3 linked regions of the Rattus norvegicus genome follow. The main gene of each other region encodes a partner of the protein of the gene in region 2 in a complex. Links are inferred from orthologs where the notes say so. Each region holds a gene or a part of one and is shown on either strand. Other genes may lie near its edges. The genes, in order: Xpo5, Xpo1 and Pkia.

Region 1 (3,657 bases), on a different chromosome or scaffold from region 2:
AACTAGAGAGAGGAGTGAGAGGGAGGGAGACCTGACTGCAAGGAACTGGTGGGACAGTGGACTTCAGTGCCGCATGATCCCTTTCCAGACAGAAAGAGTAAGACGGGGAAAACAGGAAGGCAGCTCCAGTGAGGGTGGGGTATTTTACAAACCCTCAGAGGGTCTCTCTGGAGATAAATTATTGTCTTCCTACTTCTTAGAAATATAACAAGTTTATTTTCTTTTCTACAGTTTGTTCAGTGCTTCTTTTTAGTCGGTTTGGGTTTGCCAGGGACGGTATATATGTAGTTTAGGCTAGCCCTACACATGCTGCCCTCCTGCCTTAACCTCCTAAATGCTGGATTCTAGGCATGAACCACCTGGGTTTTGTATTTATTTATTTTAGAGTTCTCTCTTCGGCCTATGCCTCCTAAGTATTGGCTGCTACCACTCCAGGATTTATTTTGTTTTGGTTTTGAGTAACAATCTCAGTGTTCTCCAGGCTGACCTGGAAATCTTGGGCTCACCATCTTCCTTAGCCTCCTGGTAGCTGGAGCTACAGATGAAGGCTGGTACAAAAGAACACTCAAGACTTCGTGTTCATCCAGAGCCTTTTGTGTAGGATGTCTTTTAAGTCTCCTCAGCAGCGCGGGCCTGGGATGTACAGCTAAACAGAAAAGGCAGTTAGGCTGATGCACAAGACATTGAGTATTTGCAGTTTAGGATTCCAGGTCAAGCAGGAGTGGTTTTCCTGCCAACACAGGACATGGTTGGCACTCGAAAGCCCTAGTAGACTGCCCGGTAGTGCAGCTTGTTGGCTGGAGAAAGAATGGCCTGCTCATATGAGGAACTCCTTAACCTGCGGTAGCACGTGTCTTCGTGAAGCCCCTCGTGCTCTTCTGCCCCCCAGAACACTATGAGACCCTGATATCTCCCATCCTTGGACCGCTCTTCACCTACCTTCACATGGTAAGTGGGTCGGCGCAGTGGGCAAAGAGAACTGGGGAGACGGCTCAGGCTGTAAAGCGCCCATAAAGTGTAATGACATGAATGTAGATCTCCAGAAGACACATGAAAGCCAGGCGTGTTGCCACACATCTGTAACCACACAGCATCTGGAGCTCTTTGGCCCAACAGACTATGATAATTGATAAGCTCCAAGTTCGGGGAGATTCAAAACTATGATGAAGGCGGACAGAAACACTTCATCTCCAGCCTCAACACAGGTGTGCACATGGCCCGTACAGAGCACCAGATGCACACACACACAAGGGTGCATGGCTGCTCTGGAGTCTTACCCTAAGGGGCTCCTGAAGTGCTCCCCCAGCGCCAACATGCCGTCTGTGAGGTGTCTCCCCAGCAGATGATTGCTGCTGTGTGTAGAGCAGTCCCAGAGAGACAGGCAGCTTTGTTGCTACGGGGCAACAAACAGTCCTGCTTAAGTCCTCCAGTGAGGAGAGATGATCAAAGGACTGTTTCCTCTGCATCTGCTCATGGCTCTAGGATGAAGCAGTAGACAGCTTGACAGAGAACAGATGTTTCCAGAGAGAACCAGAACTTCTCAGTGTTAATCAGTTTCAGCAGATGGTTGACATTCTGTCCTTGTCAGTCAGCAGAGTAAGGCTATAGAAACCGTACCTCCTTTTCACTGCATTTGGTCTGCCTGGCTTGGGAGATGTTGTTACAGGAAGGTGACTGACATCCCTGAATCCCTTAGATTGGCAATAAATGCAAATATTGAATTCTTCAATACTTGTAACATAGAAGTTTGATATCTGTTCCAACAATTCAACTCTTTCCTGTCTTGACTAAATCAAAAGTTATTGCTAACATTAATTAAAGTTCCTGTTTTAGATTCCTTTTTTCATATTTGGGCCTTGGTACAATTTAGTTTATAATTTAGAAAAATGACTTTAGGTTGACATAATGAGTTTCTTTCTGGGTAATTAGTTGGGCCTATAGTTCACCTTAATGGCTGTGTGTTACCCCTTACATCTATAATCCCAGCACCAAGGAAGCTGGAACAGGAGGATCACTCACACGTTTAAGGCGAGCCTGGGATTTATAGTGAGTTCTTTTTTTTTTTTTTTTTTTTTTTTTTTGTTCTTTTTTTCGGAGCTGGGGACCGAACCCAGGGCCTTGCGCTTCCTAGGTAAGCGCTCTACCACTGAGCTAAATCCCCAGCCCCTTATATAGTGAGTTCTTGGACAGCCTAGACTACAGAGTAAGAAGAAAAATTAGTAGTAGGCCATGTTCTCCAGCCTCTGTCCATTCTAGCACTTGTCTTGTCTCTCCAGAGGCTTTCTCAGAAGTGGCATGTCATCAACCAGAGGAGTGTCCTGTGGTAAGGAGTACCCCTCCTTGGTGGGTGAGCCAGCAGCCAGCTTCCGGTGGGGAAAGGAAGAAGGGGCAGGCAGGTTCTGACTACCCTGTGGCTAGAATGGCAGTGGTTTATAACCACCTCCAGCCTAGATGGGAGGCAGTTTGTCTGGACAGGCTGTTACCAGTGAGTGGGCAGATACTGAACTCAAACCTTTCTGTGGTTTCCCCCTTACCTCTCCTGAGCCCTCCATTATTCCAACGAAGCCGTCTCAAAAGACAGTGTCCTGCTGTTGATCCCTGGTAACAGCTTCAGAACACAGACATGGGGAGAAACAGCATAGAACTGGCCTTAGGGAGGGCAGGTGCGGGTCACCACTTTTCTTATCCTCGGCGATTTTGCTCTTTCATGGAATGTGTCCCCTGGTTCTTGGCAGTGGAGAAGATGAGATTGCAGAGGACAACCCCGAATCTCAAGAAATGCTGGAGGAACAGCTGGTGAGGATGTTAACCCGAGAAGTCATGGACCTAATCAGTAAGTGACTTGTGGGGACCAGGGAAGCTGCTCACCCGGCCACCCCAAGGCTGAAGGATAACAAGGCCCCACACAGACAAAAGCTAATAGTCCAAGTCAGTCTCTGAATGAAGTGTTCACAACCAAATAAGAAAGGGATCCAAAATGAGAACTTGAACAACAAAGTTGGCAACAACTTTCTAGCTTGATAAAATAAGAAAAAGTTTAATTCTTGAACATGGATGTCAATTTCTATGTTCAGAAATGTTGACAGATTCAATACTAGTCATTTATTGTCAATCCAAAGTAGTTAGGGATATGTCAGTCACCTTCCCTAAGAGTAGTCTGTGATGTCCCCCTAGCTGACTGACTGGAGGAGGGACCCCCTGTCTGGTTGGGGTCCTCAGAATACCACCTTCTATCGGGGAAGCTGATTTTTATTCTGTGGACAGTATCTGCCCACCAGCCTTCATGTGGCCAGTGATGGCCTGAGATAGTTGGTGAGAGGAGGCTTTATGGAGTGGGTAGACGGGACCTTCTCCTAGCCTAGGAACTGTGCTCTCTCCTAGTGGCTTGTTGTGTGTCAAAGAAGACTGCCGAGCACACTGCCACTCCCACTGCGGATGGAGACGGTAAGTGAGCGGTGGCTCAGCCCTTAGAGAGAGACAGGACAGACCTACCATAGTCTCGTGCTGCCCTGCTTGCAGTTTCCTTCTACCATGACATGACCCTCTCCGCTCATCAGTCTCCGCTCTTATGTTATCTCCTCCCAAGCACCTGTGATTGCCTGCACTGTTTCCGTTTAATTCCTTGCCTGTCCCCCTCACTGTGGGCTGTCTTAGGGA
Region 2 (2,535 bases):
CAAGAAAATAGAAGTGCTCTCCACCCCCTTTTTTCTATCTGAGACCCCTTTCTCTCTCACTCCAAGTGTTTCCTCTTCCCTTCTCTTTCCCCCTCCTTTGCCTCTACCCCCTTCCCTTCTCAACTACCCTTCCTTTGATCCAAAATAAACTCTATTCTATATAAAAAAGGGGGTGGGGAAGATAAGGTGGTGAGGGGGAGAAAAGGGTTGGATGTAGCTCAGTAGAATGTTTGCCTGCTATATGCACGAGAATATGATCTAAATTATGTGCACACTTATAAAAACGTAAGAGATGGACTATAGAGTAGGTAAGAGCACTGACCGCTCTTCCAGAAATTCTCAGTTCAATCCCCAGCACCCACATGGTGGCTCACAACCATCTGTAATGAGATCTGATGCCTTCTTGTGTGTCTGAAGGACTCATACATATAAAATAAAAAAAAAAAAAAAAGAAAAAGCCAGACTTAAAAGAGACGAAAGCACTCCTGGACCTTGCTGAGTAGTCTGTCCTAAATATGAGTCTGTCCTAAATGAGTGAGCTTTAGAGTCCTGCTCTCAAAAGGACACAGGCAGCATTCCTGAAGACCTCCACCATATCCAAGTGCAGATGTATGGACACAAACAACATTTAAGTCAGCCAGGAACCTTGTCTCAAAAAAGTCAAAACAAAGAAATAGAAAACTTAAATACCTTTATTTGAACTAAGAAATCCCTTAGATGTTCTTTGAAAGCAGGAATATCTTGATTTAAGCTGAAAAGTCCTGTCACAAAGAGCTTTACTTGAGCACTGCAAATCAAAACAAAAATTAATCTTTAAAACCTAAACATTTAAAGTGCCATTTAAGAACCATTTCCTTATCCCCAGTACATTTACCAAATTAAAAAAACTTCAATAACAGAGAACTAGATATTCAGCCTGCAAAGGTGCTTGCAATAATAAAGCCTGGTGGGGTTGGGGATTTAGCTCAGTGGCAGAGCAGGGTTCGGTCCCCAGCTTCGAAAAAAAGAAAAAAAAAAATGTGCTGCAGTGATGTCTTATTAGGCAGAAGCTCTTACTTTCTTCCCAAGAATCCAAATCCCAGCCCCTGCACCCCTATCAGTTAGCTAGAACTGCCTCAATCTCCATCAGAATGGCTGCCTTGGTCCTCCACCTAAACCCACCCATACGGTAATAGTAATGTAATCATTTACTCTTGTAGGTGAGGGAACGCAGACTTAAGGAGATTAGCCACGTAGTCTTGAATAAACATCTGGTTGCTAACTGGACTTCCGGGATTTAGCGGTGTGCTTATCTTTCCTTCTTCAACCAAATTAAACATATATGCGAGAATTGATGCATGCATTGTTAGACCTGTTGAACAGAGCAAACCGATTAATCCGAAGACGGACCCTAACAACCAGAGCAATGAGAGGTTAGTCACGTTCGGCTCTTACCCGCAGTATGTGAGGTGTCTGTCACAACAGAAAAGATATGCTGAAGAATGTCACAAAAGTACGTTTGGTAAAAACTCTGCGCTGCAGCTTCTTCTTGTGCAACATTTTGTAAAAGTGTAAAAAGTATCTGTAAGCCTAAAACAACAACAACAACAAAATCATTACAAACTATGATTTGTGTAAAAAAAAGACAGGCTCATGAGGTGGTCTTGGCACTGGGGTTTCCTTTGTGAGCTGCTGAGATAGGAACTCTATCGCAATGACTTACTTCTAACTTCTGAGCATCTCAAGCTACACACAGTTATATTGTAATTTACAGCAACAGAAAGCTGGTTAAAGCCTGTTCTTTGTAGAGGATAATATAAAACTTCTATAAATACTTAAATATGGAGCGCCTCATGATAGTTAATGCTAATGTACACTTGTGGAAACTTCCTTTTAAAAAAAAAAAACATTTATTATGTATACGTCATACAGCTTTCTACCTGCATGTATGCCTGCAGGCCAGAAGCGGGCATCAGACCTGATTATAGATGGTTACGAGCCAACATGGGGGTGCTGGGAATTGAACTCAGGACCTCTGGAAGAGCAGACAGTGTTCTTAACCTCTGAGCCATCTCTCCAGCCCCCTGTGGCAACTTCTTAATCCACGACAGGTTCCAAATTTAATCTGGATTTTCTTTTTTCCCTTCCTTTTTCTTTTTTTGGAGTATAACCCTGACAGTCCCAAAACTTGGGTATTATGTAAGACCAGGATGGCCTCAAATTCAAGCTGTGCCCCCCAGTGCTGATATTAAAGGTATGTGGTGCCACCTTGTCCAGCTGAGCTCACCCCATTCCCATTTTTTTTTTTGCTTCTCTCTATTCATTTTAAATTAGCAACAGAGCTCACAGACTCCAAAGTATGCCAAAGGCATCATAGCACATAGTCAGATACTAAGCAAAGACAGGCCGTTTATTTACTCAGAGTGGTGCCCTGTAAATGAGGCTGGCCTTATGCTAGAAGCCTATCATTATGCCACTTCAACTTCTCCAGGATTAGGATTAAAGGCATGAATGACCAAACCTGATATTTGGGTTATTTTAACCAAACATTTTAAA
Region 3 (3,657 bases), on a different chromosome or scaffold from region 2:
AGAGGGTCCTGCTTTCCTTTGTTAAAGGTCTTACTTTTACATTTCATAGTCCTGGAGTGAAAAGTAGGACATCGTACACAGCAAATATATGTTCTAGCATAGGGCTATAACTCTAGCCCATTAGAATTTTGATTTTTTTAAAATAACTGTTATGTTGCTTTGTAATTATAATATAATTACACCATTTTCCCTCAGAGTTCTTCCCTCCAACTCCTCCCATAAGTCATCTAGTGCTCTCTCGCTTTCTCTCTCTCTCTCTCTCTCTCTCTCTCTCTCTCTCTCTCTGTCTGTCTCTCTCTCTCTCTGTCTCTCTCTCAATTCATGGCCTCTTTTCTTTAATTGTTACATATTTATACAAGAATGTATTAATACAACCTGCTCAGGCTGTACAGTGTTACCAATATGTATATTATCTTAGTGTTACCTATATGTATATTATCTTAGTGTTACCTATATGTATATTATCTTAGGACCAGACTTGATATTGGATAGCCAGTTTAAATAATCTTCCCTGGAAAAGACTATTTCTCCTACTCTTAGCACTCCCCATCTGCCAATAATTCTTTGTCTAGGGTTGAGGCCTATGAACTTTCCCCTTTCTATATTACCATATCCATTGGTGTCCTTGTTGTTCAGGTCCTGTTTAGGAATGTGCTGTGGTTTGAATAAGTACGGCTTCCTAGGTTCATATATTTGAATGCTTAATCACCAGTGAATGGAACAATTTGAAATTATTAGAGATTGGGAGATGTGACCTTGTTGGAGGAAGTGTGTCCCTGGCTTTGAGTTTTCACAAGCCAGCACCAAACTCAGTGTCTCTTCTCTCTAACTATAGGTCAGGATATAGATTTCTCAGCTGCTTCTCTAGTACCATGTCTACCAGCATGCCACCATGTTCCCCTCTCTGATAATAATGAAATAACCCCTCAAACTGTAAGCAAGCCTTAAATTAAATGTTTTTTTTATAAGAGTAACTTTAGCCATGGTGTCTCTTAACACCAATAAAACAGTGACTAAAACATGAAGCCATATTGATGAGACTTCATTGAAATATAACTTTTATGACATTTCTAGTAAACTTGTCTCACACCAAACTTTATGCTTCCTTGGCTTCTACAATCCAACTCCCAGTCTCGTCAGTAGTGATCCTTGAGCCTTAAGTTTAGGAATTGGGTTCTGTTTGAGTCAACTGAGACTGGGTACCAGAATGTCTTTGCATTTTGATTGCTTTTGTTTTTCTGTAATGGCATGCATTTGTTGCAAAAGGAAATTTCTACAATAAGTCATGAATTATATTTATCTGTGAGTGTAAGAGTAAACATTTAGAATGCAGTTAAGAATTATGCTGGTTTAGTAGAGCCGCAGTTAGAGAGGTGTTGGTTACTGTGGGGGTGTGTGTACGACTATCGCACCCTTAGGGTATTTCTGGCATGCTGGTCATTCATAATGGTTTGACAAACGTTTCAGACAAGAATCAAAACACTACTTCTAACAATTGTTTCCTGTTCATTTTTAAGCCATTCATTAATCTCACTGTGTTAAACATTCAGCATTGACTCTTATTGCACTCACCTGTTTACTTTTCTTTCTCTTGTAGTCCCTGCTATGTGGATATTTGTTAGCAATGACTGATGTGGAAACTACGTATGCAGATTTTATTGCCTCAGGAAGAACAGGTAGAAGAAATGCAATACATGATATCTTGGTTTCCTCTGCAAGTGGCAACAGCAATGAATTAGCCTTGAAATTAGCAGGTCTTGATATTAACAAGACAGGTGAGTCACCCAATGTACACCTTTCCAGGAACATGGAATGATTTGGCATTTTCCTACCCAAGATTAGGGCACAAAAACAAAAAACAAAAAAAAAAAAACAAACCAACAAACAAACAAACAAAACCAGCCACAACCAAAAATGCTTCCTTTGAAATTAAATGACACAGGTAAAAACAGTTCAGGCAAAATGAAAGTCTGGTTAGTTCCCCAATCCCACCATTTTTCAATGACTTCTCACTCAAAAATTAAAACCATAATCCAAAAAATTCAATATCTACAAAACTTTCAAATTACTTATGGAAAAACCTTAACCGAGTTAGGACTCCTACCACGGATAACACTGGCTACCTCCTCCATTTCATACATACTTACAAAGATTCACAATTGAGTCAGGAAGGCCTCAAAGAATCATTTCAAAAGAGGTACCCTAGAACCATTTTTATTGAGACTGATAATCAAAAAGTTTGTTATAAAATGGTTCTTTATTATAGTGGTTTTTAAATTTTTGAGATTGGGTGGTTTTGTGGGAAAAAAATGTGTTTGGTCACCTGGCATTACTAGTGAAAAAGAAGAATACCTTAATACATTAAAATATTTGATAGTGTCTATTTTGAGTATTAAAATAAGTTCTTTAGTAGTTCCTCCAGCCATAGCTTCTTCAAGTTTATTAAGAAGACTAGCACAAAATAATGATTAAATATAAAAAAGAATTCATAATCAAGGAACCACAGTGTTATATACATAAGATCTCACTATTTTCTGACTGTATTTGGGACATTCAGTATGGCTTTACTCTGAGAGTATATTGCAAAAGTCTTCAGATTGTTGAGAAATGAGTAAGGTTATGTATGTGATTTTTAAAAGACAGAATTTTTTTTCAATTACTAAAAGTCAGTAGTCATAGAAACCATTTTAATTTTAGATTAATGACAAATGTTGACCACATGGCTTTGGGCTGCACAGACCTGCATATTCTAGGGCTCGTTGTTTCTCCACCATTATTGTATACACTTAATTCTCAATGCCCTTTGAAGAAAGACTAGAGGACATTATTTCGTTTTACTGTCATGAAATGAGTAAATACATTTTTCTTGTGGTACAGAAATCTTGCTGATTTCTTTTAATAGATTTATATTTTAATCTTACATAAATATTCAATTTTAAGTGATTGCATGAATTTCAAGAAGTCTTAAAATTTGAGTCATAGAGTAGTTTCCTCTGTTTTGCCTGCTAGCTTTAAGACCTTTTTTATACAAGAGAAAATATTAGATTACCATAGGTAATTTCACTAATTCTGATATTTATATTCATAAATATAAAAAGTAAAATATTGCATTAAATACAATTTAATTATATAATTTGAAAAAAATCAAATACATTGCTGGTTATAGTGTATCTTGTTTTCTAAAGAACTCTGGATTCTATTTACAATGATCTAAGCCCGTGTAAATTTTTTAGTTTCTCTTCAAATCATGAAGTCTAGAACTAGGCAAACTGTTAACATCACTGACTTTATCATTCTCCATGCACAGAACAAATAATAATAATCAATATGAATATCTAAACTATAAAATGTGCATACCTAAAAGCAAACTTAATACACATATGTCTATTTTCTTACAATACATATTCAGCAACATCATTCTCTTTCATTAGTTTACAAACATCATTTAACCACATCTCTGTTTGCAATGTGATGTCAAATTCTAAGAAGAGTCCTCAAGCACCAGGAGGCTCCAATCCTCATGGGAGTTGGGTTTCTCATGTGGTATTTATACAATCACTTTCATCCTGCAGTATTCTACTGTCTGTCATCTGCCTAGATATGACTCCCTTCAGTTGGTTATCAAACATGGTTCCCATAATGGACTCCTTATTCTGT

Evidence for each region.
Region 1: Xpo1 (region 2) and Xpo5 share a complex: the UniProt entries of both Homo sapiens proteins name them as parts of the nuclear export receptor complex. The link is inferred for Rattus norvegicus from reciprocal best matches to the Homo sapiens genes XPO1 and XPO5.
Region 3: the proteins of Xpo1 (region 2) and Pkia are in contact, whole or in part, in an NMR structure (PDB 2L1L), measured with the Homo sapiens proteins. The link is inferred for Rattus norvegicus from reciprocal best matches to the Homo sapiens genes XPO1 and PKIA. Residues at the interface, in NP_003391.1 of Homo sapiens: Val518, Lys522, Leu525, Cys528, Glu529, Lys534, Lys537, Ala538, Ala541, Ile544, Phe554, His558, Lys560, Phe561, Thr564, Lys568, Phe572, Glu575, Thr576, Val580; in NP_006814.1 of Homo sapiens: Asn36, Leu38, Ala39, Lys41, Leu42, Ala43, Gly44, Leu45, Asp46, Ile47, Asn48, Glu51.

Annotation. Positions count from the first base shown.
Region 1 is NC_086027.1:22,241,233-22,244,889, reverse strand, and holds part of Xpo5 (exportin-5), read left to right. Parts: intron 1-850; coding exon 851-948; intron 949-2,276; coding exon 2,277-2,323; intron 2,324-2,735; coding exon 2,736-2,833; intron 2,834-3,381; coding exon 3,382-3,444; intron 3,445-3,657. UniProt on the Homo sapiens protein: Mediates the nuclear export of proteins bearing a double-stranded RNA binding domain (dsRBD) and double-stranded RNAs (cargos). XPO5 in the nucleus binds cooperatively to the RNA and to the GTPase Ran in its active GTP-bound form.
Region 2 is NC_086032.1:101,472,421-101,474,955, reverse strand, and holds part of Xpo1 (exportin-1), read right to left. Parts: intron 1,570-2,535; coding exon 1,435-1,569; intron 1,352-1,434; coding exon 1,192-1,351; intron 788-1,191; coding exon 691-787; intron 1-690. UniProt on the Homo sapiens protein: Mediates the nuclear export of cellular proteins (cargos) bearing a leucine-rich nuclear export signal (NES) and of RNAs.
Region 3 is NC_086020.1:96,311,372-96,315,028, reverse strand, and holds part of Pkia (cAMP-dependent protein kinase inhibitor alpha), read left to right. Parts: intron 1-1,597; coding exon of another isoform or gene 1,598-1,624; coding exon 1,625-1,775; intron 1,776-3,657. UniProt on the Homo sapiens protein: Extremely potent competitive inhibitor of cAMP-dependent protein kinase activity, this protein interacts with the catalytic subunit of the enzyme after the cAMP-induced dissociation of its regulatory chains.